Linked DNA regions of Arabidopsis thaliana. The protein of the gene in region 2 purifies or fractionates together with the protein of the main gene of each other region. This does not show direct contact. Each region holds a gene or a part of one and is shown on either strand. Other genes may lie near its edges. The genes, in order: AT3G49830 and AT4G36080.

Region 1 (16,127 bases), on a different chromosome or scaffold from region 2:
AAGTCTCTCGAGTATCTCTCTCTTAATCCGCGACCTTTAACGAGACACCATTGACGCTAAATATTCAACCTTACGAAACGTCGTCGCTGGATTAGTTAATGAGCTACGTAAAAATAGCCCATAAGATTGAAAGTCCAGCCCATCTAGGGGCTAGGGTATGCGGGACACCATTCAATTTAAGAAACGTCGTTGTTTAATTATGCAAATGGGCTTAGTAGCTAAAGCCCATAAGGTACAATATCTAGCCCATCTATAGGTTTGGTTACTGTTATTCTCTGTTACAGAGTTTTATATGTCAAGACAAAAACTCTCACATCACACTGTGTTATACACAAACCCACTCAAAACAGAGATTTGCTCAGACTCATTTCCAAAAACAGGACAAGTAAAATAAGCCTATGTTTATTTTTGTGTTAAAAAACAGTAGAAATTGTTGAATGATTCACTTGTCAAATCTCACATTTCTTTTCAATTGTTCATTACAACAGTAGTAGTTCAGAACAATGTATGGAGACTTTTGGTCTCCACCACAACTTATGTGCTCTACTTATTAGACAAGAATCAAAATTCACATCATACTGTACTTTGAGATGTCACTCTATGCAATAACAGTGATTGATTTTTCAAGAATCACGTTTTTGATATTTACTTCGTTGAAGACAATAAGGAGGCTGAGAACAAAGATGAAATCATGACAATTGTCTAATTCCTAATCTAAGTAAAGCTAAAAGAAAACATTGAATGAAGAAAAAAAGATTCAAAAGCTTAAAAGAGGCTTCTACAAGTTCAGGGTCAAAGATTTTGCTTTTTTTTTTTTTTTTTTTTCTCTGTTGTGAATGGTCAAAAAGCAAAACAACCTCTCACAAGAACCCAAAGTAGAGAGGTTTAACTTAATATGGTTCCTTTCTTCAAATTCTTCTTTTTCTTTGTTCTTCTGAAATTGATTTGAGCCAGAGGCGGTAACTTTACACAGTTTTTTTCTAATTCCCAATGCTTATTGCAAAACGAACCAATATGGTAACATTACATACCGATCCCTCAACCACCCGGTTTCTTCGTCTTCCCCATGTTTCCATCAGCTGATTGCCTCTTCCTTTGAATTGTTACCACCAAAACCAATAGCTCAATCTTCAAACTCATCATCTATATATACATCAGGGCAAAGGCAGATTCGTAATGCAATGCACATTTACCGTTTCATGGATAACCCGCTGAATCCTGTGATCAATCAGTGCCAATGCTATTGGATTGTCCTTGTGAGTTTGCATTTGGAAATAAACATGGTGTCTGAATAATGTAGACTACAAAGCTTAAGTAGCTCTGCTGACCGCTGCTTCAACGCTGCATCACACCCGCTCTGGATCACGAGTAACAGCTTTGCAGCAAGACCAACCTCAACAGCAAGTGGTGAACATTCTTCTGGAGCTAATTTGCAGACAGACCAAAGAATCGACAGCGCGTAGTTAGTGCAATTCTCAGACACCCTCATCAGCACCCTAACTGTATAAGGTATTGTGTTTGCAGAGTCTTTGACAGCAACTCTTCCTTCCACGTCTGTACACAAAGCATCAAGAACAAACAGAGCTAACTCCAAACATTCCGGGTCTAAAGACGGTAAGATATCAACTAATTGAGGCACTGCTCCAATGCTAACCATCAAGCTTCGAACTTGTTTATGAACCGAAATCGGTTTAAGCAACCGAAGTGCAGGAGATACTCCATTTCTATGTCTCTTATCCTTAACCAATCTCATTAACCCAACAAGCAAACTATGACTTGAAACAAGCTCTGCTCTAAACCCTTTCTCTTCCACCAATCCTCTAATCAATCTAGCACAATTGATCTTAGTCTCATTAGATCCATCATTCAACATATCAACAATCAAAGAAACCTTAGCTGGTTGCATCAAGCCGGATTTCGAATCAGAATCAAGATCAAGACTCACAAGAATAGCAACAACCTCAGATCCAACAGCATGAGAAGTAAAAGGACCCAAAAGAGAAGAGATCACAGAGACACCACCTTCTTCAACAACAGTCTTCCTCGCCATAAGATGAGCAATAACAATCTGTTTAAGCTCACTCAAAGCATGAACCCTAGCTTGACCTTTAGCTTTCTTCAAAGTCCCCAAAATCTCAATAGCTCGTCCTTGAACATCCTCAGAACGTTTCTTCATCAACACATACTTCTGAGAGAACCAAGTATAGATCAAATGATGAAGAGTTTTATTAGGAGTTACCGTATCATCCCAAAGCTCTTGCATTGTAGTAGGACAAGTCAAGTGACCTAGGTTAAACCATTTGTGAATGTTTAACCTTTCATAGGTTTGACCAGTACACAAAGTCACAGGATCTTGCATCGGCTCTAAGGAGATAGGACAAATGAAAACAGAAGGTATATCTTGTAAATCTAGCTCCTTTATCATCTTCTTCAGATCCAATTTCTCATCAACAACTCCAACACCACCACCATTAACACCACCGAGAACTCCATCTTTCACTGCAGTATCCAGATCTAAGACTTGCCCATCACCACCACCTTCAAATCCTATTAACCCATCTCTCTTTAACGGCTGAAACATCGGCATTTCGATAGAATCTATAGAAACAAAAAAATCTCAATAAAAAAACAGACTTTTCTTCTCAAACTCACAACATTTGGGAAAATAATGTGAGCTGAAAAAGAAACGCATGTCTTTATCTCAGAAAGAAGCGTTAAAACAACAACAACAACACAATCTTCTTCTTCTTCTTTTTCCTCTTTGCTTTAATTTAGTTTTTCTCTTTTCAACGGTCAAAAAGAAGATTCATTCAACTCTTGTTAATAATATAACATCATAAACACATGATTGAAACCCAACTGCTCCCAAAAAAAATGTGAATTTTATAACCACAAATTTCGAGAAACAGAAAAAAGGAGGAATCATGAAGAATAATGAGAAGGAAACCAAAAAAAAATCAACGAACCCAGTACAAAGGTTTGAACTTTCAATACCAGAAAATCTCAAAAGATAAAAAAGGAAGAGAATTTGAGAAAACCCAGATGACGAAATCAAAAATAAATTCACGAATTCGTGAGAATGACGAAGAAGAAACCCGTACTCTCTCTTTTGTTTGTTTGTTTCTCTCTTACCTTCTTCTGAGGTAGTGTGAGTGATTGTTTTGTTTTTGTTTCTTTGAGAGGAAAAAAAAATGGGGTGAATAAAATAAAAAGGAGAAAAAAGGGGAGAGATTAAAGATTTGTTGAAAGATTCGGGTGGAAAATCTAAAAAAATTAAAGATAAGGTGACCGGTGAATTCACTGGTTATAGCCGGTCATTTAGTCCTCTCGACTCGCGTACCACACGTGCAAGCTACACCACATGTGACATGCCCTCACCTCCCGGTTTTATTATAATACAACTCTCTTTTTTAATTACCATTGAAAAACTCAGCTTAATAATTTTGATTTCCAATTTTGTCCCTACCTTTTATAGTTTTAAAACGTAATTAATTAGGCAACCAAGAAAATTCTCCCAATAATAAAGAATTAGTAATTTTAAACACATTATTTCAGTCAAATTATACAGGAGATGTAATTGTTCCTTCCAATAAAGTGTGGAATAAACACTTTGGTATGTGAATGAATAGTTTTAGTTTTTTCTGATAATATTTTGGATTTAAAATTGGGAATATCCTTTAATTAGTCAAAAAAAGACAACAGTGAAATTCTAAATTTTCTTTTAGCTTTTTTTTTCTTAATATCCACGCTAACTAAGGATAAATACTTTTCCCATTTATGTTAAAAAGATGTTTGTTAAGGTTAAGGATTTTGTTAAAAAAACAAAAAAAATGTTGAAGGATAAACAAAAATGAGGGTAAAGTGGTAAAAATGAAAGAGTAAAGAAAATCCGGCAACGTAGTCAAAAAAGCTGAGAAGTTTGCACTAAACTCCAAACACCCACGGGGAAGAGTAACCCGTACAGGTCGGGGCACGTGTGACGATAATTTCTATGTTTAATTTCTTAATTACTTTTTTAATTTCAATCTTATCATCGTTATTAATTCCAAAGGAACAACTCTTGATTTTTTGTTTGTTATACCAATACCTTCCTTCACCTCTTTTTAGTATATAAAAAAAATTAAAACTGAAAAAAAAAACCGAAACCGATTACCCGAACCGAAACCGACCCAAATAATTGGATCTAAAACCGAATCCGAATCGAAAGATTTATTATATTGAATTCTAAATTCCTAAACTAAAAAAATCGAATCCAACCACAATCCAAAAATACTCAAATATTTTTATTCGAAAATATAAATTTTACCTTAAACCCAAAATTTTATCCGAAAATTCAAGTATTTACCCGAATATATTCGAACCCAATTAAATCTAAACCTATATTTTAGATTTATTATATTAAATTCTAACCCAAACGGATATTTCCCTATAATATTACTTCAAAAAAAATTATAATAGCTATTAAAAAAGCTTATTGCCAAACAACTTTTTGAATCGATTTAATCTGCTGACGAATAAGAATTTTTATATAAAAACAACATTTAAAAATTGGTTAAATTGTTTCACATAATTGCAGTTTCAAAATAAAAAAGTTTTAAAAATAAATATTTTTTTGAGAAATATACTTTATAAATATCACACACTATTAGAAAAGAAAAAAAAAACAGAGAGGAGTGAGATGGGGACCACAAACAAAAGTGCCAGCTAGACATAATATTTGACCGTGACAGTGTCTTGCTTTGACTATAAGCGTCGATCGTCTCCGGGTCTAATCTCTTTGCCCCCTTTGACTGTTCCTTTTACCCAATCATATCCCACCACGTGTCCACATCTGCCTCTTCCCCACCCAACCTTCATTTGTTAATTAATTTGGTTTTCAAATTTTTCATATTTTTAACAAAACAAACTCTCTACCAAATCAAGATAATTTAATAATAAAACTTGGAAATTGATGGGAGTGGGGATAGAGAAAGAGATAGAGATCTGTAAGAGAGACCATGTGTTCTTTTTGTTGCAGTTGAGTACTGACCCATAACTGCAAAGTTTGCTGTCCAAACATATATTTTTATTTATTATTTCATTGAAAAATATATTGATTACTTATTACTGGACCCATTTTTGAAATGAAATTGCAGATTCAAATGAAATGATTTTCAGAGTTGTTGATAATGATAAAACCAAAAATTTTGTGTCTATGACGTTTTTTTTTTCTAGTCAAACTAAGATGATATACTAAAGTGGACCGGCAAGTGTTTAAATGTGATATGACTTGTTTTGTAATCAAGTTTTTTTAGCCTTTGGGATGATGGGAGATTGATAGTGATATTATAAAAATATAATAACAATAACTATATCAAAAAACAAAATTGATTTAACATATCATCTAAGTAGTAATACGGACCGAGTGCTAATGACTGGTGTGAGTGGTGGTGACTAGAGGTGGACCTACGAATAAAAGCGTAACCATTTCATGAAAACGAAGTGACGAAAATTCAACTACTGTGTGTCGTATTTTCGTTGTTGGGATCAACAGTTTTTAATACGTGTGTTGAATTTGTTCTTGTTTTATGTTTGTTGAGCTAGAAGGTTTCAAATTATGAAAGAATGAACTGACACTAACCAATTAAGTGGTGGTCTAGTGGTAGACGTCGACATTTCAAAAGAGGTAGGTATGATTTCTGATTCAAGTCTTGTTTGGGACAAGATGATTTACGCATGTCTGCATTGTATACTTACGTATAATATCAATCGCTGCAACATGTAATGGAGATCGAGACTACTAGCTCTTAATTTATGAGCTAAATATATAAAGAAACTGACTCTAATGACACTTAATCATGTAGATTCTTCGACTTGATGGGGATGAGTGGGCTCTAAAGACATGATGCACTGAGCAGTTCGTGATTTTGGAGAATGTGAGGAAAGGTAACTATAGGAATTGATCACTAATTCGATGGTATATCGGATTGGCAATGTAACACTCATAACTTTTGATGGTAGAGAGTTTGTGGATGTCAAATATCGTTCAACTATGAGAAATAACTTGACTTCTATAGTTCTATGAGAATACAGTGAAATAATGCCACTTTAGGTAATGAGGTTTTGTTGTGTCAATTTATAATGATGATGACTGCAACTAATACAATAGAAATACTCTTGTATCAACTTAAAATCGTTGCGGAAAAGGTTCAATTTGTGTCTAAACATATATGAGATCACATTGTTAATTGTATAGCAGATTCAAACATATGTTTTAAAGAAAATGAATTTACTGATATAGAAGGGACTAATAAAAGGCAAGAAAATTCGTAGGTCGATTATGGAAGATTAATGAAAAATAACAAACTAATTCAACAATAACATAGTTCTAATCAAATTGTTTTTTTCTTGCTTTGTCGTTATGACTTTATGCCATTTTATTCTACCATTTTTGTCTACGCTTTCGTCATTCTCGGTGTTACCAATCGAGCCCATGACATCGGTAAACATGAATACACTATAATGCATTGCCTACGCATATGTTTATCTTTAGTATTTTAGGCTTTAGCTCATTTATTTTAACGTTAAAGAAGTGTGAAACAATCTTTTAATAAATGCAAAAGTAGAAGCACGAAGGAATAAAAAAGGTATATACCGCATTCCTACGCGTATTCTATATGTTTGATTTTCTAGCCATTTTAGCTTTGGACTGTCACGTGAGTCGTGACGCTCTACCCCCTAAATCTATGTCTATAGTAGTATGTACATATCAGACACATGCATGAGGCACCTATATATTTGTAAATAAATTATACACTATATGACGTATGGATTCAATGATACCAAGAGTTTTTGCTTGTAACGCCCAAGATTTTCGAAACCTACAATCTAGGATCTAAATAGTGTACCTCCAGTTATAAATTATATTTGTCGCTCTAGATAAGTTAGAGTAATGGCCAAATCTCGATAACAATTTATTTGTGATCTCCTCACATGAATTTCTTTGGAACCAAATTAATCCCAAACGATAGGATTCAATAATCAGTTAAAGTTTTGTAGTATTCGATAGTGGGTTAGAGTAATGTAGTGATGCAAACAAGAGTGCTAATCTATTGGGTCTATACATTGGATCAAATTTAATATATGGGCCGAACTATCATACCAAGCGTCATGCTTTGAAGAAAGTAGTTGAACCAAGCCATTATACCCTTTTAACTACTAACTAACCCATCTCAAATATCCAGATTTAAATTGGTGTCCATATTATATGAAATAAGTTAAGACTGATTTGCCAACAAGGCAACAACACCTTAATAAATTTAAACATCTAACTGAAAGAAATGTATTTAATCATCCAACTAGGTACATTTAAGAATAGATCACATTCATAATTTTGTTATTATCATTTACAACAGTCATCATGGATTTGTCTTCTCTTTGATCCTGTCTTAGTGTCTTGAAATCTTTGAGCATTTCTTCTTCTTCGTCTCTTATAATATATTTAAAAGGTTATATATTTACATATATACAACTTTGATTTCGATACTCTTGAGAATCCAATAATGAAAGCGAAAGTCATAGAGAAAGAGAACTGCTTCGTATGGTTGGTTAAGGCTCCTTTTCGTCTGTTGATCATGGCACGTGACGCCTACATACGAAGCATTACGTCATGCTCCGGCGCCGGAATTTATTCCGGTGGTGGATCATCTGGTTTTGGTCAACTCTCCGGAAACTTCCAAATCTGCGATCCGCCTAGCACCGCCCTTCCTCGAAGCTTTACCTTGACGTCGGCGGCACATGATCAAGGCTGTCTGACACGTGGCGGACAACCTACGATTGCAATGAGACAATCATTGTCCTTGGATCATCGGAAGAACAATAGATGCGTTGTTGTGATGGGAAGAATAGATGAGGAGATGTCTTGTGATGATGATGATGAGTTTCAAGAAGAAGACTCTTTTCTTGATTATGGTAATTGCGAGATTCTTACAAAAGAAATAGAAAAACCATCTGTTGACCAAAAACATAAGCCTCTAGGACGATTTTGATTTTGATTTTTAGGTTTATTATTAGGTTGTTGCATTGTGCTTATTGAGAAATATGGATCAAACACTTGAAAAGAAAAATCATTTTGTATCATTTAATATTATTTCTTGTATTACTTATAATTGATGTTAAAAAAAATTACATACGATTCTAAAAGTGGTGATGCAAATAATTCACATTGTTTTGTTAACAACCAATGCAGTTCTACATGATTTTAATATCATGAGTAATTTCTAAAAACAAATTACAACAAAAATTAATTTCTTTTAACCACAATAACTTCACAAAATTACAAACATAAAATACAAATTCAAAACCACAAGCACAAAAAATAATAATTTAGAAAGTTTATCAATTACTATTTTTGCTGTAAGAAAAAAAGTTTCTCAATTTTATTTTTGTCTGCAATATCTTTACAGATTCCAAAACAAAACAAAAAAACTATCTTTTTATTTATATATATATATATATATATATATATATAAATGTAAACTTCCTCATAAGTAAATTAACAAGAATATATATCAAACAAAATCTTGTAATTTTTTAATATAAATAAAGCTAAACCTTTACGAAGAAGAAAGACTCTGGTGATTGATTCTCCAAAGTCTAAACCTAGTAAAAGCCAAGTCTCATTCCTCGGGTGAACTCAACAACCGACGATGGCAGAACTAAGGTTATCAGAAACTCGAGACTTAACTAGGATCGAAAGAATCGGAGCACACTCACACATACGAGGTTTAGGTCTCGACTCAGTACTCGAGCCACGAGCCGTATCCGAAGGAATGGTTGGTCAAATCAAAGCACGTAAAGCCGCCGGAGTAACCCTCGAGTTGATCAGAGACGGCAAAATCTCGGGTCGGGCTATACTTATAGCGGGTCAACCCGGAACGGGTAAAATCGCAATAGCAATGGGTATAGCAAAATCACTTGGACAAGAAACACCATTCACTATGATTGCAGGAAGTGAGATCTTTTCTTTAGAGATGTCAAAGACTGAAGCTTTAACTCAAGCTTTTCGTAAAGCTATTGGTGTTAGGATCAAAGAAGAGACTGACGTGATAGAAGGAGAAGTTGTGACGATTTCGATTGATAGACCTGCTTCTTCTGGTGGTTCTGTGAAGAAGACTGGGAAGATAACAATGAAGACGACTGATATGGAATCTAATTTTGATTTGGGATGGAAATTGATTGAGCCATTGGATAAGGAGAAAGTACAGAGTGGTGATGTTATTGTTTTGGATAGGTTTTGTGGGAAGATTACTAAGCTTGGAAGATCTTTTACGAGGTCTAGAGATTTTGATGTTATGGGTTCAAAGACTAAGTTTGTGCAGTGCCCTGAAGGTGAGCTTGAGAAGAGGAAGGAGGTTTTGCATTCTGTCACACTTCATGAGATTGATGTTATTAATAGCAGGTTTGTTTCTTGATCTTGTTCTGTATTTGTCAATTGCTTAGTTTTAGGTTTAGGTTAAAAAGATTGCTTCTTTTTCACGTATTGATGCTTTTTCAAGTTCTTATTTGGATTCTTGTTTTCTTTCTGTTGTTTGCAGGACTCAAGGGTATCTAGCCCTCTTCACAGGTGATACAGGCGAGATTCGTTCAGAAACCCGAGAGCAAAGCGATACTAAAGTGGCAGAGTGGAGAGAAGAAGGGAAAGCTGAAATAGTACCTGGTGTTCTCTTCATTGATGAAGTCCATATGCTTGATATCGAATGCTTCTCTTTCCTGAATAGAGCTCTCGAAAACGATATGTCACCAATCCTGGTCGTGGCTACAAACAGAGGAATGACAACAATCCGAGGAACAAACCAGATATCAGCACATGGGATCCCAATCGATTTTCTTGACCGTCTTCTTATTATCACAACACAGCCTTACACACAAGACGAGATCAGAAATATTTTAGAGATCCGTTGCCAAGAAGAGGATGTGGAGATGAACGAGGAAGCGAAACAGCTTCTGACTTTGATCGGATGTAATACCTCGCTTAGGTACGCGATTCATCTAATCAATGCAGCTGCCCTAGCTTGCCTGAAACGTAAAGGGAAAGTCGTAGAGATTCAGGACATTGAGAGAGTTTATAGATTGTTTTTAGACACCAAGAGATCGATGCAGTACTTGGTTGAGCATGAGAGCGAGTACTTGTTTAGCGTGCCTATAAAAAACACACAGGAGGCTACTGCAGGAGAAGAAACAGAACACGAGGCCATGGAAGTTTGAGAATTTTGTTTTATTGCTTTTTCAAGAACTTATTTTTTCACCCCATTTTGTCATGGACTCATGGGACATGGTTGAACAAAAGATGGAATTTTTCAAGTTTTCGAGTTCTCATTGAGAGATAGACAACGTTTTGTACTGTGTTTTTGACGGAGCGATAAGATGGTATGACAAAAAGGTAAGATTGTGGAGACGTTTGAAGGGTTAATTGGTAAGGCTACCTAAGTTCTCACCTAATGTTTGTATTCAATTGGCTGATTATGGTGGAAAGATGGCGGTTTTGTGGGTCGAACAATCTCCTTGTAGTAACAACGGCTATAAGAATAAGATTTGGTGCGCGGAGATTGCTCTTGAAAAACAAGAAAGTTGTGAAATTTGGGGAGAAGTTGAGTGGTTTGGTCATGTGCTTACAGTTCCTTCAACATGTTTTGTTGCCAAGGTTATTGCTGCTACTGTTTGATGATGAATGAATGTGTCACAAAGCTTAAATATGTTTTTTTTTGGTGTATGCAGATATGATGATGACATGGCTTAATTTTGTCTCTTTTATTTATGTGACTGCTTTTACTTTCGTACGATTTCTTCATCCAAAAAACAAAACCCAGAAAAATCGATGAGTGACTCATCATCAGTCATTGTCCGAAGCTCAAATTTCATTGTCGTGATTCTCTTCCTCAACCTCGTCACTTTCTTCTCCCTTGTCTCCTCCAATGAACTTGTCTTTGGTAAGTTTGTGTCGGAATTGAATTATACTTTTAGGGCTTTCTTCAATTCTTTATGGGACTCGAATTTTGTAGTTTAGAATCACCAAATTTCAAACCTTTTTTTACATAATTAAGACAATTGCGATGAATTATATAAAAAAAGATCCAATTTTGTTGTTTATTAGCAGCTGTGGGTGAAACTGGTTCACTACAAGTGACTCCAAGAACAGAGGTGATATATTCACCTGGTCTGAAACGAGGTATAACATCGATATGTGAGAGATTACATATCCATGGATTACAAAGAAGACTTGAGCACATTGATAGATATGCACATTCACTAAAGTTGACTCTTTTGAGTAATAATGCTTCCAACAGTATCGACGTTTGCTTCCACAGGTAAAATCTAGTATCTGTGTAATCTCTATGAATCAATCTAGTATCTGTGAAATCTTAAAGTTTACTTCTTTCTGATTATAGGAATTCGTCGCGTGCAATTGGAATGTGTCCTGATAATCAGTGGAAGAGAGTGTCCAAAGGGTTACCTTGGGTTGGGATAATGTCACCTTTTGACTATAAGATTCTTGATATAAGAACATTTGGTGGCTCATCTAATGTCAGCACCGTGGAGTTGGTTGCTAAACAAGGTAGAGTGCTTGTGTTGTTTTGTGTTTTGCAAAATTCTAAAACTAAACAAAGTAGAGTTTGTATTTGCAGAGTTTTTCATATACCGGATTGTGTTTTTAATCATGGGGATAGTGTTACTGAGTTTGGCTTCTAGACTTAGCAAATCAGTTGCGTTTTACTATATCGGTGCAATGTCTATTGGGATTGTCATTCTTGTAACTCTTATCATTAATCAGGTAAAAGTTTTCATAACGCTATCTTTTGTTATATGTTTCATGGTTTTTTCTCTGGTTAACGTGATAAACGGTTGTGCAGGGGATAAAGCGTCTACCAACTAGAGGGAAGAGTCGTTTTCAGTTATTTTTCTACTCGTCTATGGTGAGAGTTGTCTTCTCTTTGAGTTCTTTTGTCGAACATGTACTAACCAAAGCCTTCTTTTATATTCTCAGATTGGTGTGGGAGGTTACTTTCTTCAATACATACGCGGTTTAGTTCAAGATTTGCTAATGCAGATAGAAATCAGTGAAGATTTGTACATCCCTGTATGTAAGTTTTGGTACTTGTTGTTATGTCACATATTCATATTCTGGTTTGATTAATCTTAAACGGCTTATGTAAAATTTTGCAGCTGGCGATTCTTTTGGTTGTGTTTGTATTTATGTTGGGAGCGTGGTCAGGATTTTGGACTGTCAAGAAATTTGTTGTGACAAAAGATGGTTCTGTTGACATTAGTACATCAATCTTTGTCTCTTGGTCCATCCGAGCTTTTGCTGTGGCTCTGATCCTTCAGGTACTTCGTTTTTTCTCTGCTTTTGCTTCTGATTCATCTTTGATTATAACCAAACCTTTTGGTGATTGAAGTCTTGATCTTGTGTTAATTAACAGAGCTCTTTAGATCCATTACTTGCTGGAGGAGCGTTGATAACTGGAATTCTCATCTCATTGATTCTAAAGAGTATTAGCAGAAAGCTGTTAGCTCAAAGAATATATGAGCAAGATGATGAAACTGAGAGTTGTAGCCCCGGCTTGATCCATGCTACCTCGTTTGCTTCTCCTCTTCCTAGAGGTTTTGATTTTTTCTCTTTGTGTCTCTAGTGGTCTGATTTCTTTATACTAGTCCCTTTATCTCGTAATGTTGTTCTTGAAGAACCGGTTTTTCTTCTGTAAATGGTTTTTGCAGGTTCCAACAAGAAGTTGAGGACAGTACCATTATCTGAGTCAGATATCTTTCCTTCTTCATTCCACAAAACACCAGAAGGGAGAAGGAAGCTAACGAAGGAAGAGTTGCAAAAATTCACTAAAGAGAGCACGGAAAATGCATTGAAGGAATTGGTTTCTTCACCTGGTTTTGGCGAATGGGCGGTGAAAAATGCTAAAAGAATCACTGTAAATCCGATAAAGGAATCGTCAAGTAAATAGGGTGATACTGTTAAGCGCAGAAGAAGGTTCCTCTGGTTCTGAAAAGCAAGCAGCTAGGGGAACTTCTGAACCAGTCGGAGAGTGTAGTAGGTTGCTTGTGAACAAAGCAACAAGCCTTGCTTATATATAGTCTTCTGGAAAAGAACTAATGAGCAAGGCGAAAAAGTTGAGAGATTAACTTCTAAATCAACAAAATGTAACCTTTGACATAAATTGATATTGACCAATAAGATCATACGTTTCCATGTGTGTAGTCATCAATGATGTGAAACTCAATACTATAGTGTATTTTATTTGAATGGACGATGATAGTTGGTATAATAAAGGAGGAAATAAATAAAGTCATCTTTTTGTTATTTAACGGCTGAAATTTCAATAGCAATTTAATTTGAATGATTCCAGTTCCACAAATATGAGTTGGTCATCTATATCACATGTAAGTTTTCTTAGTTATATTTAAAAATCATTAAAATCTAAGAGTAGTCCTTGGAGAGAACATGTCTCTTGTCTCCTAAACCTCCTTTATTATCCATCATCATTGTCACTAACCCTATTATTATTCCATTCACAGCGAAGAAAAAGAAGCAAAGAGTTCGTTATAAAGAAAGAAATAAACCCTCAGATAAGAGCATAACAGAGAAGAAGAAGAAGATGTCTTATCAAGACCCACAACATCCCGTTAGTGCTCCTCCTCCTCAAGGTAATTCCCAATTTTTTCCAAGTTTTTAGGGTATTTTTGTTTCTTGTTTCTTAAGTTTCGATGTTGTTGTTTTGTCAGGGTATCCTCCTAAGGAAGGATATCCACCAGCAGGGTATCCTCCACCAGCAGGTTATCCTCCACCACAATATCCTCAAGCGGGATATCCTCCAGCAGGTTATCCTCCACCGCAGCAAGGATACGGTCAAGGATATCCAGCACAAGGCTATCCTCCACCGCAATATCCTCAAGGTCATCCACCACAATATCCTTATCAAGGTCCTCCACCACCGCATTATGGTCAGGCTCCACCGAAAAATAAGAAAGATAAGAAGGATTCAGGAGGCTTCATGGAAGGATGGTGCGTTGACCAATTATCTCTCTCTTTTTATATTAACATATAGTTTTGAATACTTGAAGCTGATGATATACCTTTTTTTGGTTCATTATTCATAAATTTTGGTATGGAGTAATATGGATATTCAAAGTCTATATGTTTGGTACTTATAAAATGTGTATTTGTTTTGTATTACAGTTTGGCTATGCTCTGCTGTTGCGTTCTCTTGGAAGCTTGCTTTTGATCGGAAGATGAGCTGATATTTGCCGTTGACCGTCTTGAGGATGCTATTCAATTTTGTCAAACATGTTAAAAAGACGTGTTTGATATACATTTTAGATCTCTTCTTCTGGTTATGTGTGTCCACGTTTTGGGTTTGTTTCTTTAATTTTCTTTAATTTTATGAATGAATCCGAATTTGACTTGAGGTCTTGTTTACTTTCATGACTATTGATTGATTCAGGGTATGTTACCCATCTTTTGTATATGTGTGTTTTATCTTTTGTATAAAAGCCATTCATTCTTTCCAACTAGAGGAACACAAAAAAAGAAAGCAACCCAATTTTGTTCTCTTTCTCATCAAAAATGTAAGAAGAAGTGACTGTATCAACGTGATCAAAACTTAGCATTACCATCAAACTTATATAAATTTATACTTACGGTCCGATATATTTCCATTTTCCGTCTCAAACATATATGTCACATCCACCATTCCTCGGTTGATCAACTATTCAATGTACAAATTTTTATAAAAATACTACTAAATCGTATATAATCTTGAGTCTTCACTTCTTATATTTAATGTAAGAGAGTGGTTTAGTATCCACCGATTAACTCGGTTCAAACCAAAAATACACCAAAATGATATGACTGAATTGTGAAATCAGTCCAAGAACTAAAAGTCGATGAGCTCGGCATCGACCTCCATGAAGATAAGGAAAGATTCACTCAAATCTTAAGAAATAATACGGTAAAGAATATTAGACATATTCCCATCCGAAAAATAAGAAGCTCGATGACCAAACAAAAAATCCGTAATTCTATTTTCGAAAACCCTAAATTTATTATATTACTAAAAAATCTCTTGTAATTGTCAAGTTTACTCTCAAAAATCATTTTTCTTGAATCTCTTGTTTACTCTAATTTCTACTTTGCTTTTACTCGCATTGTTAATTTAATTTCATAAATTAATCCCTAATAGATCAAATGGGTGTATTTTTGCAATTATAAAGTTTAAGACGAATTTGTAAAAATGAAGATAATAAAGGGCTCCCAGTAAAGCACCTCAAAATCGATACATACTTCATCCTCCAACATGCGTAGGTGAATCGAAAGATTAAAGGTCAAATTTTTGTGTCTTCTCTTCCTCTGTCTCATGCCACAATTTTTAGATTTCAAACTTTGATCCATGACACTCTCCATAGCTTCCTCTCTCATTCCCTTCAGCTTTCTCAGGCATGTCTTCTTCTTCCTCTTCTTCTCCTTGTTAATTTCCCCATTTCCCTGATCGAAAGCTTTAATCTTTTTCTCGTGCGTGTCTTCGTAATCTCTGGCGTTTCTATTGAATTACTAATGCAATTGAAAAACTTGGGGATTTCATTATAAAGTATTGATCTTTGTGATGTTTTCATCTGTTCACAGAGAATTGAAGTCGAGACATTAGAAGTGTTTGTTGTGTGTGTGTGTGTGTTTCTATAGAATTTTTGAATTTTGTGATAAAATTGTGTGAATGGGAGCTCCAAAGCTGAAGTGGACACCAGAAGAAGAAACAGCTCTTAAAGCTGGAGTACTTAAACATGGAACTGGAAAATGGCGTACCATTCTCTCAGATCCTGTGTATAGCACAATTCTGAAGTCTCGTTCTAATGTGGATCTCAAGGTAAAAACATCAACAACTTTAAAGTGAAGAGAGATTATAGAAAAGTTCGAAACTTATACTATTGTTGTTGTCTACAGGACAAATGGAGAAATATAAGTGTAACAGCTTTATGGGGATCTAGGAAGAAGGCTAAGCTTGCTCTTAAAAGAACTCCTTTGTCGGGTAGTAGGCAAGACGATAACGCTACAGCTATTACCATTGTGTCTTTAGCTAATGGTGATG
Region 2 (16,832 bases):
ACATACCAAGGTAAGCTGTGTGGGTGACATTCACAACATAAAAGAATGACAATATTTAATAAAATATATACATTTACAGTGTAATCATTTTATCTTTAATCTTGACACTTATATTCACATGAAACAGTTCTGCCGAAAAGTTGAATTATGTGTGATCTTGAACTTGAAGCCCTGTCTAAATTAAAGTGAAATTTATGTTCTGGAAACTACTAATATCATATTTTTGGATACCTTAGCCAATTACATGTCTACAACAAAAATAATACACTTAAAACCTTTACACTATAGTACAAAAGAGGTTGATCTTGCAAGGTAGGTATGATGTGATGTATCTCTTTACAAGCCATGCATAGTCACCAATCAGGCTTCGGTGATGGAAATTAAGATTTTCTCCAAATTATAAAACTACAAAAGTGACAGTTCCTTACGACAAAAAGCATAACATATTGAAATTAAGACTTATTTTGAAAGATTTTTTTTTCCCAGTTTCCCTACGAATTTATATTCCAATACAAAAACTATAAAAGGGACAACCCCTAACGACAAAAAGCATAAAAGAATATTAGAACTAAGTTTTTTTTTTTTGTTTTTTTTTAAAGAGTTTTTCCGAACTTCCTTACAAATTCAATTTCCAATTTTAAAATTATAAAAGGGACAGCTCCTAACGACAAAAATACATAAAAGAATATAAAGAGTAGTTTTCCTTATTTTTTTTAGAATTTCAGTTTCCACTCCAATACCAAAAAATGGACAGCTCATAACAAACAAAATGCATAAAATATATCAGAAATAATATTTTATTGTAAGGGAGTTTTTCCAAAAAAATTCCTACAAATTCAGTTTCCAATCCAATACCTTTAAAAGGGACAGCTTTAAAAGATAAAATCTTTTTTTAAAATACATAATATACATGTGCATAATACCTCAACCACCGATACAAGAAATAAACTTGAGAAAATAAGATAATTAAATGTTAAACAAATATATAAATGTCTGCTAAATCCACAGAAGAAGAACTAAAGAGAGAGTTACAAAAGAGTTGCTCATATCCCTAAACTCTGTAGGATCCATGTCTGCAAAAAAATGACTATTCCATGTGGCAACAACAACTCAGCACCACAAGCTGACAAAGATTCCTCCAATGAAATCTGAGCCACAAAATTTGATTTTGGATAACTTATGATGAGAGAAGTTTTGCTCTCCCACCACCATGTTCTAAGGCCACCAGAGTAAAGCATTGTCTTCTGTCTTTCAACTGATTAATACTCTTTGCAGTTTTTATGTGAGTTTTTGGCAAAGCAAAGAAGACACTCTCTGATAACTGTCAGTGTCGCAATCTGTATTCTAGTTCCCCCATTTGTAGGAGAAGTGTATGTGTTTTCTCTTCCAGATTTAGAGAGACTAAAGAAGTCATTTCAAGGTGTTTCTTGTTTGTAAATGCTTAATATCTGTGGATACTCATGTTCTGTGAATGAAAATGACCATAGGAGAGAAATGATTTATAACATATAGTACACATGAGGCAATACCTGTCGATGTGAGTGTGACCATGGTGGAAGAATTTAATCCTCTCTGCTTGTTTTTTCCACTGATTGATTAGAGACGACCAATAGATAGTTGGTTTTAATAATTTGTCCCCCAAAAGAGAAGAAGAAGAAGATATACACAACTTCTTTCAAAATACCAAGTCAGAAACATATTCTTGAATCATGATCTTCTTTCAACCTCCAAAATTGAATTATGTGATCTTGAAACTTGATCCTTGTCTAAACCAAATGAAATATTTATGCTTTGCAAAATCTTACTCATATCATATGTTTAGTGTCATGATAATGTTTTCAGAAAATTAGCAAGTGAGCAGGGACAAGGAGTTTAACAAGTGAGCAGATCAACTATGCTTGCTTTATTCAAAGCCATGTTCTACAGATAGTTTACCAGAATTTTCAAATCTTAAAAAAAACAGAAAAGAATCCGATAGAAAAATGCTATGTCGTCCAAGGATTACACCTAGAATATCTTCTCTTTTGCCAAGAGATGAAAGATTCAGAATCAGATGTTTGAAGCATTCAGAGCCATGACTTTGCATTGTTCATTTAAGGCCAGAAGCTGAGCTTCTTTCTTATCAAGAAGAGTGGTCAGCTTCATGTTCTCCTCCATCAGCTTTTGCACTTGTACCTCTTTCTGCGCTTTCTCGCCTTCCAATTGTGTCGACTTAGCAACCAACCTGCTTCCACCGTAATAAACATATGACAATAGCTTCAGTAACATTGAAATACATAGCAATTGTTAATAAATTCTATAACTCGTCAGCTGCTTGTACTATATATTGATTTTTCTGCTCTTCACGCTATCATAGACATTGCTTTACATACTTTGTAGTTTGTACCTTTCCAAAAGGAACATCACATATATACATGTCTTATCATTTACATAAAACAGCTAACAAGTTGCAAATAAAAGAGATGAGACTGACCGGGCTTCAATGGTTTGGAAGTGCCGTCTGGAGGAAGAAAGAAGTGTATCTAAAACATTGTTGGAAGCAGTGAGGGCATTTTTAAGCGACTCACACTCTGTCATTACAATCCGTTCCGTCTGTTCTAATCTCAAGGACAGATTCTGGATTTGGACTGTCTTCCTTGTAATTTCTTCCTCACATATAATCACCTTCTCCTTATGAGAACACGTTTCAGATTCTGCCGCTGTGACCCTCCTCAAAAGAGACTCCAGCGCATCAGTAATAACCATTTCTATGGATTGGAGCGTATTCAAAGTATAGACTCCATCCTCTATAACCAAGGAATCCTTGTTCTTGTTGGTTCCAGCCAATGTAGTATCATCTTTAAGTTGTAGCTGTTGAGCACCGAGTGACAGACCAGGAACGGCCAAGATTCTAGCTTTTGATCTCAAATAGCTCAAGCTTGTTGCAGCTGATTTGACCCTATCTAACAAAACCTTTAATTCCTTTCTTGCGTCTTCCTCTGAACAGTCATGGGACATCTTGACACCTTCAGGTTCAGCCATGCTAGTACCAGCCATTTGTCCACAACTTAATAAAAGAAGAAGCTTTCTTTCTGCAAATCTGCAATCATTTAAAAAAGAAGCTTAGAATCCAAAGTAAATCCAAAACGCAATCTTTAGTCTAGTTAACGGCGGAACCAACTTCGTTGACCTAGAAATTAATTATTCGGAAATCAAAAGTTCTGCTTAACTTTTTTATTTTTTAAGCAACAAACTCACTTCAAAATAAAATTAATATAAATTTATTTTGGTTATGGATATATTAAATAAAAGCATATACAGTACTAGTATTGTGTAAATCAAATTAAGTCTTTAAACATTACCAAAATAAATAATTAAAGTTTTGGATGGTCAAGAATTCACCGAACCACCTAGTCCCACCTTGTGTCCCAACACAGCTAGCTTCCATTAAGGATTTCTGTGGCTCCATAGATAATGTTCTCAACTGTCTCTTGACGCTGTGTGAGCTCCTGCCAACTTTTATTTTCTACGTAGTTTCCTCCACCGACCATGAAAACTATCGCTTCTCTAAACGGTCCCTTCACATGGCTACTACTACTAGAGCCTGACTTTGAAGCTCTCGGGTCCAGTATTAGGTATGACTCTGTTTCCAGGTTCGGTTTTCCTTCAGTTAAGGCTTCAACACTCAACAGCCCTTGCCACCGCTAGTTTCTCATCACTGGATAAGAGATTCTTGACTCCCGCGCGGTCACCACGTTTATAGACTGGCCATAGAGCAATATGACTTTTGCTGGCTGAGTTTGCTGCTAAAGAAACGTTCAGCGATTTGATCTTTTTCACATACTGAAACGTGCTTGTATCTATCTTAGCTTCACGCAATGCTGCTTCCACAGCTTCAACTTCGGTTTGGTTAACGCTTTCTAAGGAAATTAAGTACATGATTGCAAACCGTAACTTGTCTATATTAGTACCTTTCGCCTTCAAAACAGATAGAAGCTCGGTTCTGTTGATGCTGCCTATCATCATCATCATCTCCTTCTCTTTCTCATCGTATGCATCCAAAGATTGCTCCTTGATATGTGATTATCATCCAATAATTAAGTGTTGCCAATACACAGAACAAACCATTAGCGACCTTTTCACCATGACCTCATAAGTCTTCAACAAACTCTGCTGCTCTTGAATCTCTGCAGCTAAACGAGAGTCTTGTGGAGAGACACATACAGGCTTGGGGTTATTCTCTCTGTAAAAATGCTTCATTTCGGAAAGATTCTTGAGTTCAGAAATGACAACTTTGTCCGCTGCCTGAATCTTCTCGGGATCGTAAGGAGTATGAGCACTTTGAAGCTCGATATAAGCAGATTTCAAGGACGAGATGTTTCCAAAGAGATTGGAGATAAGTGCTTCCATAGCTTCAGGATTTTGATTGATAGACTCTTCCATTGGTTGAGGATGGATTATGTATGTGTTTCATGTTTGGATCATAAAAATATAAGAGACAGTGAAATCAGCACTATGCATGTCACCAACAGAAAGTAAATAAGAGTATCAAATACTATAACAAGTACCTACAAATTTGCAAAAGAACGATCCAACTTGCAAAAAAGGTTCTTAAATTCGAAAAACTATTGTCGCTTGGGGGAAAACAATGATAACCAAGAACTCACAGTCCCTAAAGTCAGCAAAGCTTTATTTATATAAGACCTTTCCTTGCGCCTTAAACCACTGGTTTCAGCCTTTGAGCTCTCAGAACCTGTCAGGTCAATGAGGTTCTGCAGATATATGTGAAAGTGAAATTATGGTCAGTTGTTCATCTTTAAGTGTTCAGACAGTGCAATAATAAACAGTTTGTCAGAGTTAATGAAACAGTAAGCTATTACCGAACATAAAATCACTTGATAAAAAGAAAAGATGTTATAGCAGCTCCACTTTCATTATTGTCAACCAATGTATTGACCACGGGTGTCATAAGAGAAAAGTTCTACTAGGTTGCAAAGTGTGTAAAGCAGAGAACTAAGCTAAAGAATGCAACTATAAACTAACTACAGTAAAAGTAAAGGCTTTATATGGTCAACAGAACGACAGTAGCTACATGCATAATGTGAGTTTGATTTCCTGTCTGGGACCTCACTCAAGTATAAACCAATGTTAACAATCCACAGAACAAACATATCAAACAAAGTGATTGTGACAATTTCTTTGGAATGCAAAGCCTTAGGCGGTACCTTTCCTGTATAATGTAACTGTGGCTTGTTATGGCTATCCACAGATGTCTTTGGATAAAGTTTTGAAGACGACGTTGTTGAAGATACAGGGGAATCACAAAGGCTTTAACTTGCTTAATCCAGCATTTGTAGACTTTGATACTTGTTTAGATCCTATCACAAACGAAATTCCAACTTCCGGTGACTGAAAAAAAAGATGCAAGTACAAAACTTTATCAAATAATAAGAGCTAGCAACAAGTATACTATTGCACTTTTTTTGAGTTTTTAAGCCAATCAGAAGGCTCTATTTCGTACCCTTTCCAATTCATGACTTTTTTTATCGACGCACATCTCTCCAAATTCTCCATCGCGTGACTCTTTTAGTTTTTTTCAACAAAACCAATGAAACCGAACCGAAATCAGTTTTAATTTCAAAACCAATGCATACCAAACCGAATCAGCAAATAGTGTGAATCAACAATTCTGGACAGAAATTTTCTCAACATCTCAACAACGGGAAAAAGAGAAAACACCACAACTCAAAATCACAAATCATAGAAAAATATCCAAAAAAATCACAGTAGCCTTTGATTAAACTTTCAAATTGCAAAAATCTCAGAATCAAAGCCAAGAAGAATCCTGAAGATTTCTACTTCCATGGCATCCAATAGTGGAAGAAGAACAATCTACTGCTTCAATTAAACATGAAAAACGACTCAAAGAGCTTAGCTTTACTAGTTTTAGTAAAATTTCTCGGCAACAAAGTCAAAACAGACATGAACGCATAAAAAAGATACTAAAACACATTGGAGGAGCTCTTCCTCACCACGAGCTTGTAGAGTGGAAGCTGTTGTATCACAAAACTACCCTTTTGTAAATATTTTCGTTTCCGGGTTAACGTAAACTTAAGTGGGCCTTTTGATTCATGGGCTTCACGGACCAGAACTTTTGTCGGCGTTTTGTAGTGGTAAATTCCAAAACTACCCTTTTGTAAATATTTATAAGCAAATCCGACCTAAATTTGTTATCAATGAAAGACGACTCAAAAGAGCAAAGTAAACGAACTCGAGAAAAGTTTGTTCGATCCGTACAAACTGAAACTAAAGTACGGAAACAGCGAGATTTGGTTTGTGCGATAGAAGATAATGGAACCAAATTATGAGGAAGATGTTTTTCTCGCCAAGTATCAATCATCCGAACTTAAGATTGCTTCTGAATTTCTTACGAATTGGTTGCCTTTCTTATCTAGAGATCTCTGCAACGACTGTGCTCATGTTCTCTCCGATCGAATCCGTTCTCTAGACCCAGGTTTGAATTCTTCTTCTCTGTTGAAAATTCTGATTCTTTTTTCATAATTCGATTAAAGAAACGGAGGAGAATTTTCGTTACTACTAATGTTGTGTGTTCTGTTTCGAAATTTTCTTCAGCTATTGAATTCAATTTAATGATTGGAGTTACAATAATTTCTAAACTAATTCATAGATTTGTGATGATTAGAGATATCGAATATTCTATGTAATCAAGCTATCTTCGTGAGATTTCTGTATTTGTTCTCTTACCTTATGTGTAATTGTGTTTCCTTATTACAGAGCATTGTAGTAATGGAGAAGTTAAAGCGGGTTCTGGTTCAATGGTGGATAACATGGAATCTGAAGAAGTTGATAACATGGAATCTGAAGAAGTTGATAACAAGATGGACAATATTTATGACGGGAAGTTGTGTGTTTCTCACTCATTAGATAGTTTGAAAGCTGGGGCTTTTGTATTTGGATCTTTGTCAGACAGTGTAAGTCATGCAATGCCATCATCTCAGTCAACTGTTTCTGAGGCGGCAAGTGCACAAATGTCTTGGGCTGATATGGGAGAAGAAGATGGGCTCGAGGAGGAAGACCAGAAAGAGAATGAATTAGGTTCACATGGAGTTGATGTGAGTCCTTCCGTTGGAGACTCGATGAAGACTCCTGAGAAGCGTAAATTGTCTAGGGAAGAAAGAGAGCGTTATCGGTTTATGAATGTGAAGAAAATGAAAGTGTTTTCTTGTTATGAGAAAGTTAGAGGGAGGTCTGTTAATATTCTCGAAGGACTTGAATTGCATACCGGTGTTTTTAGCGCGGTGGAGCAGAAAAAGATTGTTGATTTTGTCTATGAACTACAAGAGAAAGGCCGTAGAGGAGAATTGCGAGGTTTGCTTCTGGTTTTCTTTCATTGCTTTTTGCATAATGTGAATTTGAAAACTCTAAACGGTACTTATCTAATCTTGAATTTTTGGTTCTTTTTCGATATCTAGAGCGTACTTTTACCGCTCCGCATAAGTGGATGAGAGGCAAAGGACGAGTTACTATTCAATTCGGATGTTGTTATAACTATGCACCGGTAAGTGACTCTTTCCTCATCTTTAAAAATGAAAACATTTTATCAACTATAGTGAATATGGAAAGAGTTTTTTGTTTTTTGGATAGGACAAAGCGGGAAACCCACCCGGAATCCTTCAACGTGGAGATGTTGATCCAATGCCATCTATTTTCAAAGTAATAATCAAAAGGTTGGTTGGGTGGCATGTACTTCCTCCAACTTGTGTACCGGATAGTTGTATCGTCAATATCTATGAGGAAGACGATTGCATACCTCCTCACATCGATAACCATGACTTCCTCCGCCCTTTCTGCACAGTATCATTCCTCAGTGAATGCAATATACTCTTTGGTTCAAATCTCAAAGTCTTAGGACCTGGTGAATTCTCCGGTTCTTACTCTATACCGCTTCCTGTCGGGTAAATCACTAAAGTTTGCGTACCCTCTCTGAGTTTATTCTACTGAAGCTTCTGTTGCTTAACTTTTTGACGAGTTTTTCACTTTTTTTGCTTCAGATCAGTTCTAGTGCTCAAGGGTAATGGAGCTGATGTCGCTAAGCATTGTGTACCTGCCGTTCCCACAAAGAGGTAATTTGTTAGCACCTTGATTGTTTGTCAACGTTTATTTATATGTTTGGTAATGAAACCATTACTCTCTCTTTTTACAAAAGGATTTGGTGTTTTGCAATTTATCGGTGTTATCTCGTTTTGTTTTGTTCATACTGTTTTTGCTATCGTCGGTTCTGCTTTCAGGATATCGATCACGTTTAGGAAAATGGACGAGTCGAAAAGACCAGTCGGATTCACCCCGGAACCTGATTTGGAGGAGATTAAGCCGTTGCCATACGAACACACCACGCCGAGTACTCCTGCTGATGCAGTCATTAGCTCTTCAAGATCCAGCATTGATCAAAATGGTAGTAATCACAACAATCGAACTGCACATGGAGGAGGAAGCAAGTATCGTAGGTCGAGAGATTATCATTCTGAGAGTCGAGAGCGGTCATCATCGGGCCAACGAAGAGAAACTTCACGACATACTCCTAATAGGTCCTATAGACCCAAGGTTACTAGCTCCGACAACGTCTGAGAATTTGTAACACGAACATAATATTTGATTTTACCACAGAACAAATTATAGAAATTGCTTCTAATAATTCTTTTCGTTTTGACCGAATTTTTTACGATAATTTCAACTATATGGTTGAATAGACGAAAATATCATCCAATTGGTTTCTTCTGAAAGAAAAAAAAAATGGCGTGAAAGATTTCTCTCTTTTTTTCTGTAAACTTTCATTCTCCGTGTAAAACTTGTTCGATGATTATAAAAAACGAACACAACTATATTATCAGTGTTAATTACATTTCCTTAACCATAAGATTTTGTTTTCTTCGCATTTCTGAAATTTGAGGGAACAATGGGGACTTTTTATATAAAAAAAGTTGGGACCTTTATATATAACTCGGCTGCTGAATTTCGTTTCGTTGCACTGCTACGCTCGAGTTCTCAAAGGTTCTCCTCGCTTTCTCTTTTCAGGGGAGTCTCGCAGAGAGACCCACACCAAAAAAAAAAATCGAGAGGGAAAATTCATCATCTTCCATCGTTAACCTCGAGGCTATTGGTGTTATACCAGATAACCGACTCTTATTAAATTAGCTTAATTTGATAAACCCTTGTTAGTGTCTGACCTAGTGGAGCACCTTGGGCTTAGCGTTAGGGATCGTCGCGGTTTGGGTTTTAGAAAGGAGGAGGAGGAAGCAACGTTTACTATTCCTACTATGTGACGGAACCCTAAGACAGCGTTTTCGCTTGTCTGGGTCAGCTTTTTTTATAGCCATGAGTCCAATTCAGAATTTTGAGCAACACTCTCGTCGTCTCGTGGAGCCTGACCTACGTAATACCACTCATTCTCTGCTCTTTCTCTTCATTTCGTCGTTGGGTTGTTTGTTTGTTGCTCAGAATTAGTTTCTTTGATTTTGGATTTGAAAATTTCTTCAAGCTTTGATTTTGTCTGAGGAATTTTTGTTTGATTTTGAGTCAGTTCAAGTTAATTTAAAAATGTAGCGACACTTACTCGAAGCTTGTTTTTGTGTTCTATAGCTATTGAGGAGAGGCTTGCGATGGTGGTGGAGGTCAGGGACAGTCTAGAGATCACACATACGGCTGAGTACTTGAATTTTCTGAAATGTTACTTCCGGGCATCTTCAGTGATTCTTCTTCAGATTACAAAGCCTCAATTTACTGATAATATTGAGCACAAACTACGCAACATTGTGGTTGAGATCCTCAATCGTCTACCACATAGCGAGGTTCTTCGTCCTTTTGTGCAAGACCTCTTGAAAGTTGCAATGCAGGTGCTCACGACAGATAATGAAGAAAATGGGTTAATATGCATTCGCATCATCTTTGATCTTCTTAGGAACTTTAGGCCAACATTAGAAAATGAGGTTCAACCATTCTTGGATTTTGTCTGCAAAATATACCAGAACTTCAGATTGACGGTTAGCCATTTTTTCGAGAATGTCAAAATGGAAGAAGTGAAACCTGTGGAGATACCTACACCATCTGATCAGTCGCTGTCCATTACTGCACCTTCCAGGAATGGGCAGATCAACCCAAGTACTCGTTCATTCAAAATAGTCACAGAGAGCCCCCTCGTCGTTATGTTTCTTTTTCAGCTGTATAGCAGACTTGTTCAGATTAATATTCCTAATTTGTTACCCCTGATGGTTGCTGCTATATCTATTCCTGGACCTGAGAAAGTTTCTTCACATATGAAGCCTCAGTTCATCGAACTGAAGGGTGCTCAGGTTAAGGTGAGACAATGGCTCTCTATCCAGAAGGAAACCATAACTTATTTGGGCAGTGAGAAAAATATTTAATTAAGGCCTACACTGCCTTGTTGTTTCACCTGAATTATTTTGTTTTTTAAGGGATATTGACTTGTAGTGTTTGTTTGCAGACCGTTTCCTTTTTGACTTATTTGTTAAAAAGTTGTGCCGAATATATCAAGCCGCATGAAGAAAGCATTTGTAAGAGCATTGTAAATTTGCTTGTCACCTGTTCGGATTCTGCATCTATCAGAAAGGTGGAGAACTGTCTGTTCCTTTTTCTTCTTTATGTTTTCACCTTGTAATACAGTCATGGGCTTGCAAGTAAAGAATATTTTTTTGGTCTATGAAATGCAGGAACTATTAGTCTCACTAAAGCATGTACTTGGGACGGATTTCAAGAGAGGTTTATTTCCTCTTATTGACACTCTTTTGGAAGAGAGGTATAATGTGCCTTTTTTGCCTTTCTGAATTCTTAAACTTGTACACCTGTCAGGAAGCTGTTTTGTTTTATCAAGTAGACCTTCTACTGTTCTGTATAATTTCACTGTGCCGCAGTATAATATATTAACAAATAATGACTTATGTCATCTATTTGCTATTTTTTTCTGTGTCAGGGTTCTAGTTGGAACGGGGCGAGCATGCTTTGAGTCTTTGAGACCTCTGGCTTACAGCCTACTGGCCGAGATTGTTCACCATGTTCGAGCAGATTTGTCCCTTTCTCAGGTGCTTCCCGTTGTGTCTGTGCAATTTATTTCTTACTTTACCTTATCTTTGTTTTTGTTTTTATTTGTTAGTCCTCTCTTCCTAGATTAGCTCTTCTTAGTTGAGAGAGTTAAGTTCTGGAAACTTTGCAAAACATTGGATTCTATAGTAGGTGAGACTAATGTGTTCCAGTACACACAGTTCTTGCTATGTATATGTGGTTGTGTATTAAAATAGATCCTCATCTTAACAGTCTTATCAATTGTGATCAGAAAGTGCTCACACTTGGGAAATATGTTCCTTGCTTATAGACTTGAAACCTAGGGCCTCCCAAAAAATTCTGACAGATCGAGATGCCAATAAACAACTAATCTTAGGAACAACATATTGGTCAATCTTTCTTGCCAACATCAATCAGGCTTCTCTCTTTTAGATCTTTTCCCATTCCATTGTCTACTCTATGGGTGATTTTTCTTTTACAATTCATCTTATTTGACTGTAAACAACGTGGCAGTTATCGCGGATCATCTACTTATTTTCAAGGAACATGCATGACTCGACCCTCTCTCTTAACATCCATACAACTTGTGCGCGTCTGATGTTAAATCTGGTAAACCTATTTTTTTCATCTAGTTTGCCTTATTTAAATTCGATATATTACTTAACATTTATGTGACATAATCTCTCCATTATGTTTGAATCAAGATTTTAGTATAACTTAATACTTATATTGGGTTCAGGTAGAACCGATATTTGAGAAAGGCATTGATCAGCAGTCAATGGATGAAGCGCGAATATTGTTGGTATAACTTTACACCTGAGAGCTCATATTAGAATCGGTTGGCTGCTCTAATCATTAACTTACTTTACTCATCATCTGTTTATAGGGACGTATCTTGGATGCCTTTGTTGGGAAATTCAATACCTTCAAGCGTACTGTTCCTCAGGTAATTCTGGTGGCTTTCCAAGTTTCCATGTTGTTTCAGCTTTTTAGCGTTGTTGTTTATTGTCTTTGTATAGGTTTTGCTTGATATGCCAGTTTTTATATTTTATGTCTAGCTGTAACAGATTACATGGTTTTGTTGAGAAATCTTGAACTTTTGTTGCAAAAAAAGAGAAATCTTGAACTTTTATCGATTCTGATTGGCAACTCTTTTATTTCAATGATGTGTTACTTAGTCTTGCTTTCTCCTTCATAGCTTTTAGAGGAGGGTGACGGAAAGGATCAAATCACTTTGAGGTCGAAGCTTGAACTTCCTGTCCAGGTAATTATCTATGGTGGCTGTTTTGTCTTAGTAAGTACCCAAATTATCAGCCAATGGGGGATCGTGTTCCACACTTCCGCTGTTATGTCCAAACTTAGTAGTTCCATAGCGTTCTTTAATGTTCTTATGTCCTCTTATATAGAGGTCTACTTTCGTTTCTAAAGCCTGTTATTATTTCTACTGAAGCATTATTTTCTTTATTAATAATTCATTATATTTTACTTTGGATAGAAAGTATCTGGCAAAAAAATATTAATTACCAAACCATGCTGGTTGCAGGCAGTTTTGAATTTGCAGGTTCCTGCCGAACATTCCAAAGAAGTGAATGATTGTAAGAATCTGATCAAGACACTGGTGATGGGTATGGAATTTTGGCCATACTGACGTTTCACCTTAGTGGATCAGTTATACTTATTGATTATGTTTGTTTATGTTAAGCACTTTTCCTACTTTCTATTCAGGAATGAAGACAATCATATGGAGTATAACCCATGCACATTTGCCCCGACCTCAGGGAATGCACCCACAAGCTCTTGCGTCACAGTCATCTGTTACTCAGGTTTTTAAAGGAATGAGAGAAGATGAGGTATTGAATGTTAGATTGTTTAGTGTAGGCATTAATAATGTATGGCTGATAAACAACTAGTAATCTCTACTTTCAAGCAGGTATGGAAAGCCTCTGGTGTTTTAAAGAGCGGTGTCCATTGCCTAGCTCTCTTCAAAGATAAGGATGAGGAGAAGGAAATGCTAAATCTTTTCTCCCAAATTTTGGCTGTTATGGAACCTCGTGATCTAATGGATATGTTCTCTATATGTATGCCTGAACTTTTTGAGTGCATAATCGACAATACTCAACTGGTTCAAATATTTGCCACTCTTCTGCAAGCTCCCAAAGTATACAAGCCATTTGCAGATGTTCTGATTAATTTCTTGGTAAGCAGCAAGCTCGATGTTCTGAAGAATCCAGATTCAGCTGCAACTAAATTAATTCTGCATCTGTTCCGGTGCCTCTTTGGGGCTGTGTCAAAAGCACCATCTGATTTTGAACGGATATTGCAACCTCAAGTGCCTCTTATTATGGAAGTCTGCATGAAGAATGCTACTGAAGTTGAAAAGCCTCTTGGTTATATGCAATTGCTCCGAACTGTTTTCAGAGGACTTGCTGGATGTAAATTCGAGCTGCTTCTTAGGGATTTAGTCCCTATGCTGCTACCTTGTCTTAATATTCTTCTGACAATGCTCGAGGGTCCAGCCGGGGAAGACATGAGAGATCTTCTGTTGGAACTTTCTTTGACACTCCCTGCACGCTTAAGCTCCTTATTGCCTTACCTTCCCCGTCTCATGAGGCCTCTTGTATCCTGTTTGAGAGGAAGTGATGAACTTGTGAGCTTGGGGCTACGCACCCTTGAATTCTGGGTGGATAGTCTAAATCCTGATTTTTTGGAGCCAAGTATGGCAACTGTAATGTCTGAAGTGATCTTAGCATTATGGTCTCACTTGAAGCCGGTGCCATATCCTTGGGGTGGTAAAGCATTACAAATTGTGGGAAAGTTGGGTGGTCGCAACCGGCGATTTCTGAAAGAGCCACTTACACTTGAATGCAAAGATAATCCAGAACATGGGCTTCGCTTAGTTCTGACTTTTGAGCCGTCCACTCCATTTCTTGTGCCAATGGACAAATTCATTAATCTTGCTGTAGCAGCTGTTATGCAGAAAAACCTCACTACAGAGATATACTACAAAAAGCAAGCTCTAAAATTCCTCCGTGTTTGCTTGTTGTCTCAGCTTAATTTGCCTGGGTGTGTCACTGATGAGGGTCAGACGACCAAGCAATTATCAACTTTGTTACTTTCCTCTGTTGATTCATTTTGGCGCAGGAGTGAATCAACAGAAATAGAGGTTGGTTTTTGGAATTTCTCTTATAATCTTAATCCCTTTATAGTTTTACTCTGTAGCTTTCTGGTCAATGTCAAAGTTGCTACTCAGTTGGCTGACGTTTTCTTAAACCATTACCTTATCTCCATTATTCACAATGCTTCATAAATTAGGTTTTTGACATCACGTGATGTTGAAGACGGGGCTACCTGTTAGGCGATAGTTTCTTGATTGAACCACATTGACTGATTAGATTTTGTATTTGTTATCTTGTTGCCATGCGTTTGTATTTTTTAAAAGAAAAGGAGCTAGGACTGTTTCATGTCATTTCTTGTGAGTTGCCTATTTTTAACTTAAATCATTTGTGTAATGGTCTAATAGGATGTAAAGGATTTATTTATAGAGAGGATCTTTTTGCTGCTGATGGTTTCTTGATTGAACCACATTGACATGAGACATGATTCGATTTTGTATCTGTTATCCTGTTGCCATGTGTTTGTATTTTCTGAAAAAACGAGCTAGGACTGTGTCATGTCATTTCTTGTGAGCAAGTTATTTTTCTCCTTACATGATATGTGGTACGTGGTGTCATAGGATATAAAAGGATATATTTATTAAGAGGATCATTTTCCTGCTGCAGGCTGACTTAGGGGTTAAAACAAAGACGCAGTTAATCGCTGAGAAGTCGATCTTTAAGACACTATTGATAACTATAATTGCTGCCAGTTCTGATCCGGATCTCAGCGACTCCGATGATGACTTTGTTGTAAACATATGTCGGCATTTTGCAATTATTTTGCATGGGGACTATACTTCGTCGTATACTTCCACTAGTGCTGGTCCACTTGGGGGTTCTTTGATTTCAACAAGTTCCAAGCCCAAGAATAATTGGTCTACCTACTTAAAACAGCTGGATCCCTTAATATTTTTAGATGCTCTTGTTGATGTGCTTGCAGATGAAAACAGGCTCCATGCCAAAGCTGCTCTGACTTCGTTAAATGTGTTTGCTGAAACTCTGCTGTTCCTTGCTCGTATCAAACATGCTGATGTGCTGATGGCTAGGGGTGCTCACAGTGCATCTATGATTGTCTCCAGTCCTTCTACAAATCCGGTATATTCACCCCATCCAAGTGTGCGAATACCAGTGTTTGAACAACTTTTACCTCGGTTGTTGCATTGCTGTTATGGGAGCACATGGCAAGCGCAAATGGGAGGAGTAATGGGATTAGGTGCGCTGGTAGGGAAAGTGAATGTTGAAACATTATGTCTGTTTCAAGTAAAAATTGTACGTGGTCTGGTCTATGTCCAAAAGAGGCTTCCTGTTTATGCTAGCAAAGAGCAAGACGAGACAAGTCAGGTTCTTATACAGATTCTAAGAGTGGTTAATAATGTTGACGAAGCAAACAATGATGCGCGCAGACAAAGCTTTCAAGATGTGGTAGAATATCTTGCTACTGAATTGTTCAATTCTAATGCATCCATCACAGTGAGGAAAAATGTTCAGAACTGTCTTGCACTTTTGGCTAGCCGGACTGGTAGTGAAGTATCTGAACTGCTTGAGCCTTTATACCAGCCTTTGCTGCAGCCACTTATAATGCGTCCACTTCGATCAAAGACAATTGATCAACAGGTGCCTCATTCTGCTATTTTTTGGTTGTTGTAAATCCTTTCTGGACTTCTGTCTTACCTTCTTTAATATGGCCTTATAGGTTGGAACTGTGACAGCTCTGAATTTTTGTTTAGCACTGAGGCCCCCCCTTCTAAAGGTGACTCCAGAGTTGGTTAATTTCTTGCAAGAAGCGTTACAAATAGCTGAGGCTGATGAAGCTTTATGGGCTGTGAAGTTGATGAGTCCTAAAGTCCTTACATCATTGAACAGACTTCGAACAGCTTGTATTGAGATTCTGTGCACAACTATGGCTTGGGCTGACTTTCGAACTCAAAGTCACAATGAACTACGTGCGAAGATAATTTCCATGTTTTTCAAGTCCTTAACGTGTCGAGCACCAGAAATTGTGACCGTTGCCAAGGAGGGGTTAAGACAGGTTCGTAGTTATCTGTCTTTTGTTTCCAATTCTTGCACGCACATTTAATTTGAGGATTTTGAAGATAGACTTGATGGAATAGGTTTTCCTCTACCTAAAAGCCCTCTTCTCTTTCTGGGATAAATGATGTTATTTAATATACTATTTTGCTGTTCTGAAACTCTGTTTTTCTTTAGGTTATCAATCAACAACGGATGCCCAAAGAACTTCTTCAGAGTAGCCTCAGACCTATACTAGTTAATCTGGCACAGACAAAGAATCTCAATATGCCTTTACTCCAAGGTCTGGCACGTCTTCTTGAACTTCTATCAAATTGGTTTAATGTGACATTAGGATGTAAGTTGCTGGAGCACCTTAAAAAGTGGTTAGAGCCAGAGAAACTTGCACAGTCCCAGAAATCATGGAAAGCTGGTGAAGAGCCGAAAATTGCAGCTGGTAATCACGTTCTTGGAAATATATAAAAACAGATGCCTGGTCATGTGATTATATATTAACACATTTTTTTGTTCTTTCTGTGGCAGCTATTATCGAGCTCTTCCACTTACTTCCACTTGCTGCATCAAAATTTCTAGATG

Evidence for each region.
Region 1: the proteins of AT4G36080 (region 2) and AT3G49830 fractionate together in Arabidopsis thaliana (co-fractionation; one large-scale study listed by BioGRID). This does not show direct contact.

The regions. Positions count from the first base shown.
Region 1 is NC_003074.8:18,473,696-18,489,822, forward strand, and holds AT3G49830 (P-loop containing nucleoside triphosphate hydrolases superfamily protein), read left to right. Parts: upstream 1-8,553; 5' UTR 8,554-8,687; coding exon 8,688-9,439; intron 9,440-9,575; coding exon 9,576-10,245; 3' UTR 10,246-10,285; downstream 10,286-16,127. Other genes in the region: AT3G49810 (ARM repeat superfamily protein), read right to left, coding at 1,241-2,587; AT3G49820 (uncharacterized protein), read left to right, coding at 7,542-8,027; AT3G49840 (transmembrane protein (DUF2215)), read left to right, coding at 10,856-10,967, 11,132-11,345, 11,427-11,593, 11,664-11,809, 11,889-11,951, 12,023-12,115, 12,202-12,363, 12,459-12,639 and 1 more; WIH3 (cysteine-rich TM module stress tolerance protein), read left to right, coding at 13,644-13,692, 13,771-14,050, 14,225-14,270; TRB3 (telomere repeat binding factor 3), read left to right, coding at 15,756-15,905, 15,983-16,127.
Region 2 is NC_003075.7:17,070,169-17,087,000, reverse strand, and holds the start of AT4G36080 (phosphotransferases/inositol or phosphatidylinositol kinase), read left to right. Parts: upstream 1-8,961; 5' UTR 8,962-9,372; coding exon 9,373-9,430; intron 9,431-9,636; coding exon 9,637-10,352; intron 10,353-10,498; coding exon 10,499-10,624; intron 10,625-10,724; coding exon 10,725-10,810; intron 10,811-10,984; coding exon 10,985-11,093; intron 11,094-11,586; coding exon 11,587-11,682; intron 11,683-11,812; coding exon 11,813-11,875; intron 11,876-11,959; coding exon 11,960-12,019; intron 12,020-12,271; coding exon 12,272-12,337; intron 12,338-12,616; coding exon 12,617-12,698; intron 12,699-12,798; coding exon 12,799-12,923; intron 12,924-13,003; coding exon 13,004-14,236; intron 14,237-14,852; coding exon 14,853-15,842; intron 15,843-15,921; coding exon 15,922-16,257; intron 16,258-16,433; coding exon 16,434-16,692; intron 16,693-16,778; coding exon 16,779-16,832. Other genes in the region: AT4G36105 (polyamine-modulated factor 1-binding protein), read right to left, coding at 2,050-2,224, 2,369-2,386, 2,474-3,036; AT4G36100 (Sec1/munc18-like (SM) proteins superfamily), read right to left, coding at 3,658-4,050, 4,105-4,422; AT4G36090 (oxidoreductase, 2OG-Fe(II) oxygenase family protein), read left to right, coding at 6,331-6,493, 6,775-7,368, 7,473-7,558, 7,645-7,955, 8,052-8,123, 8,289-8,625.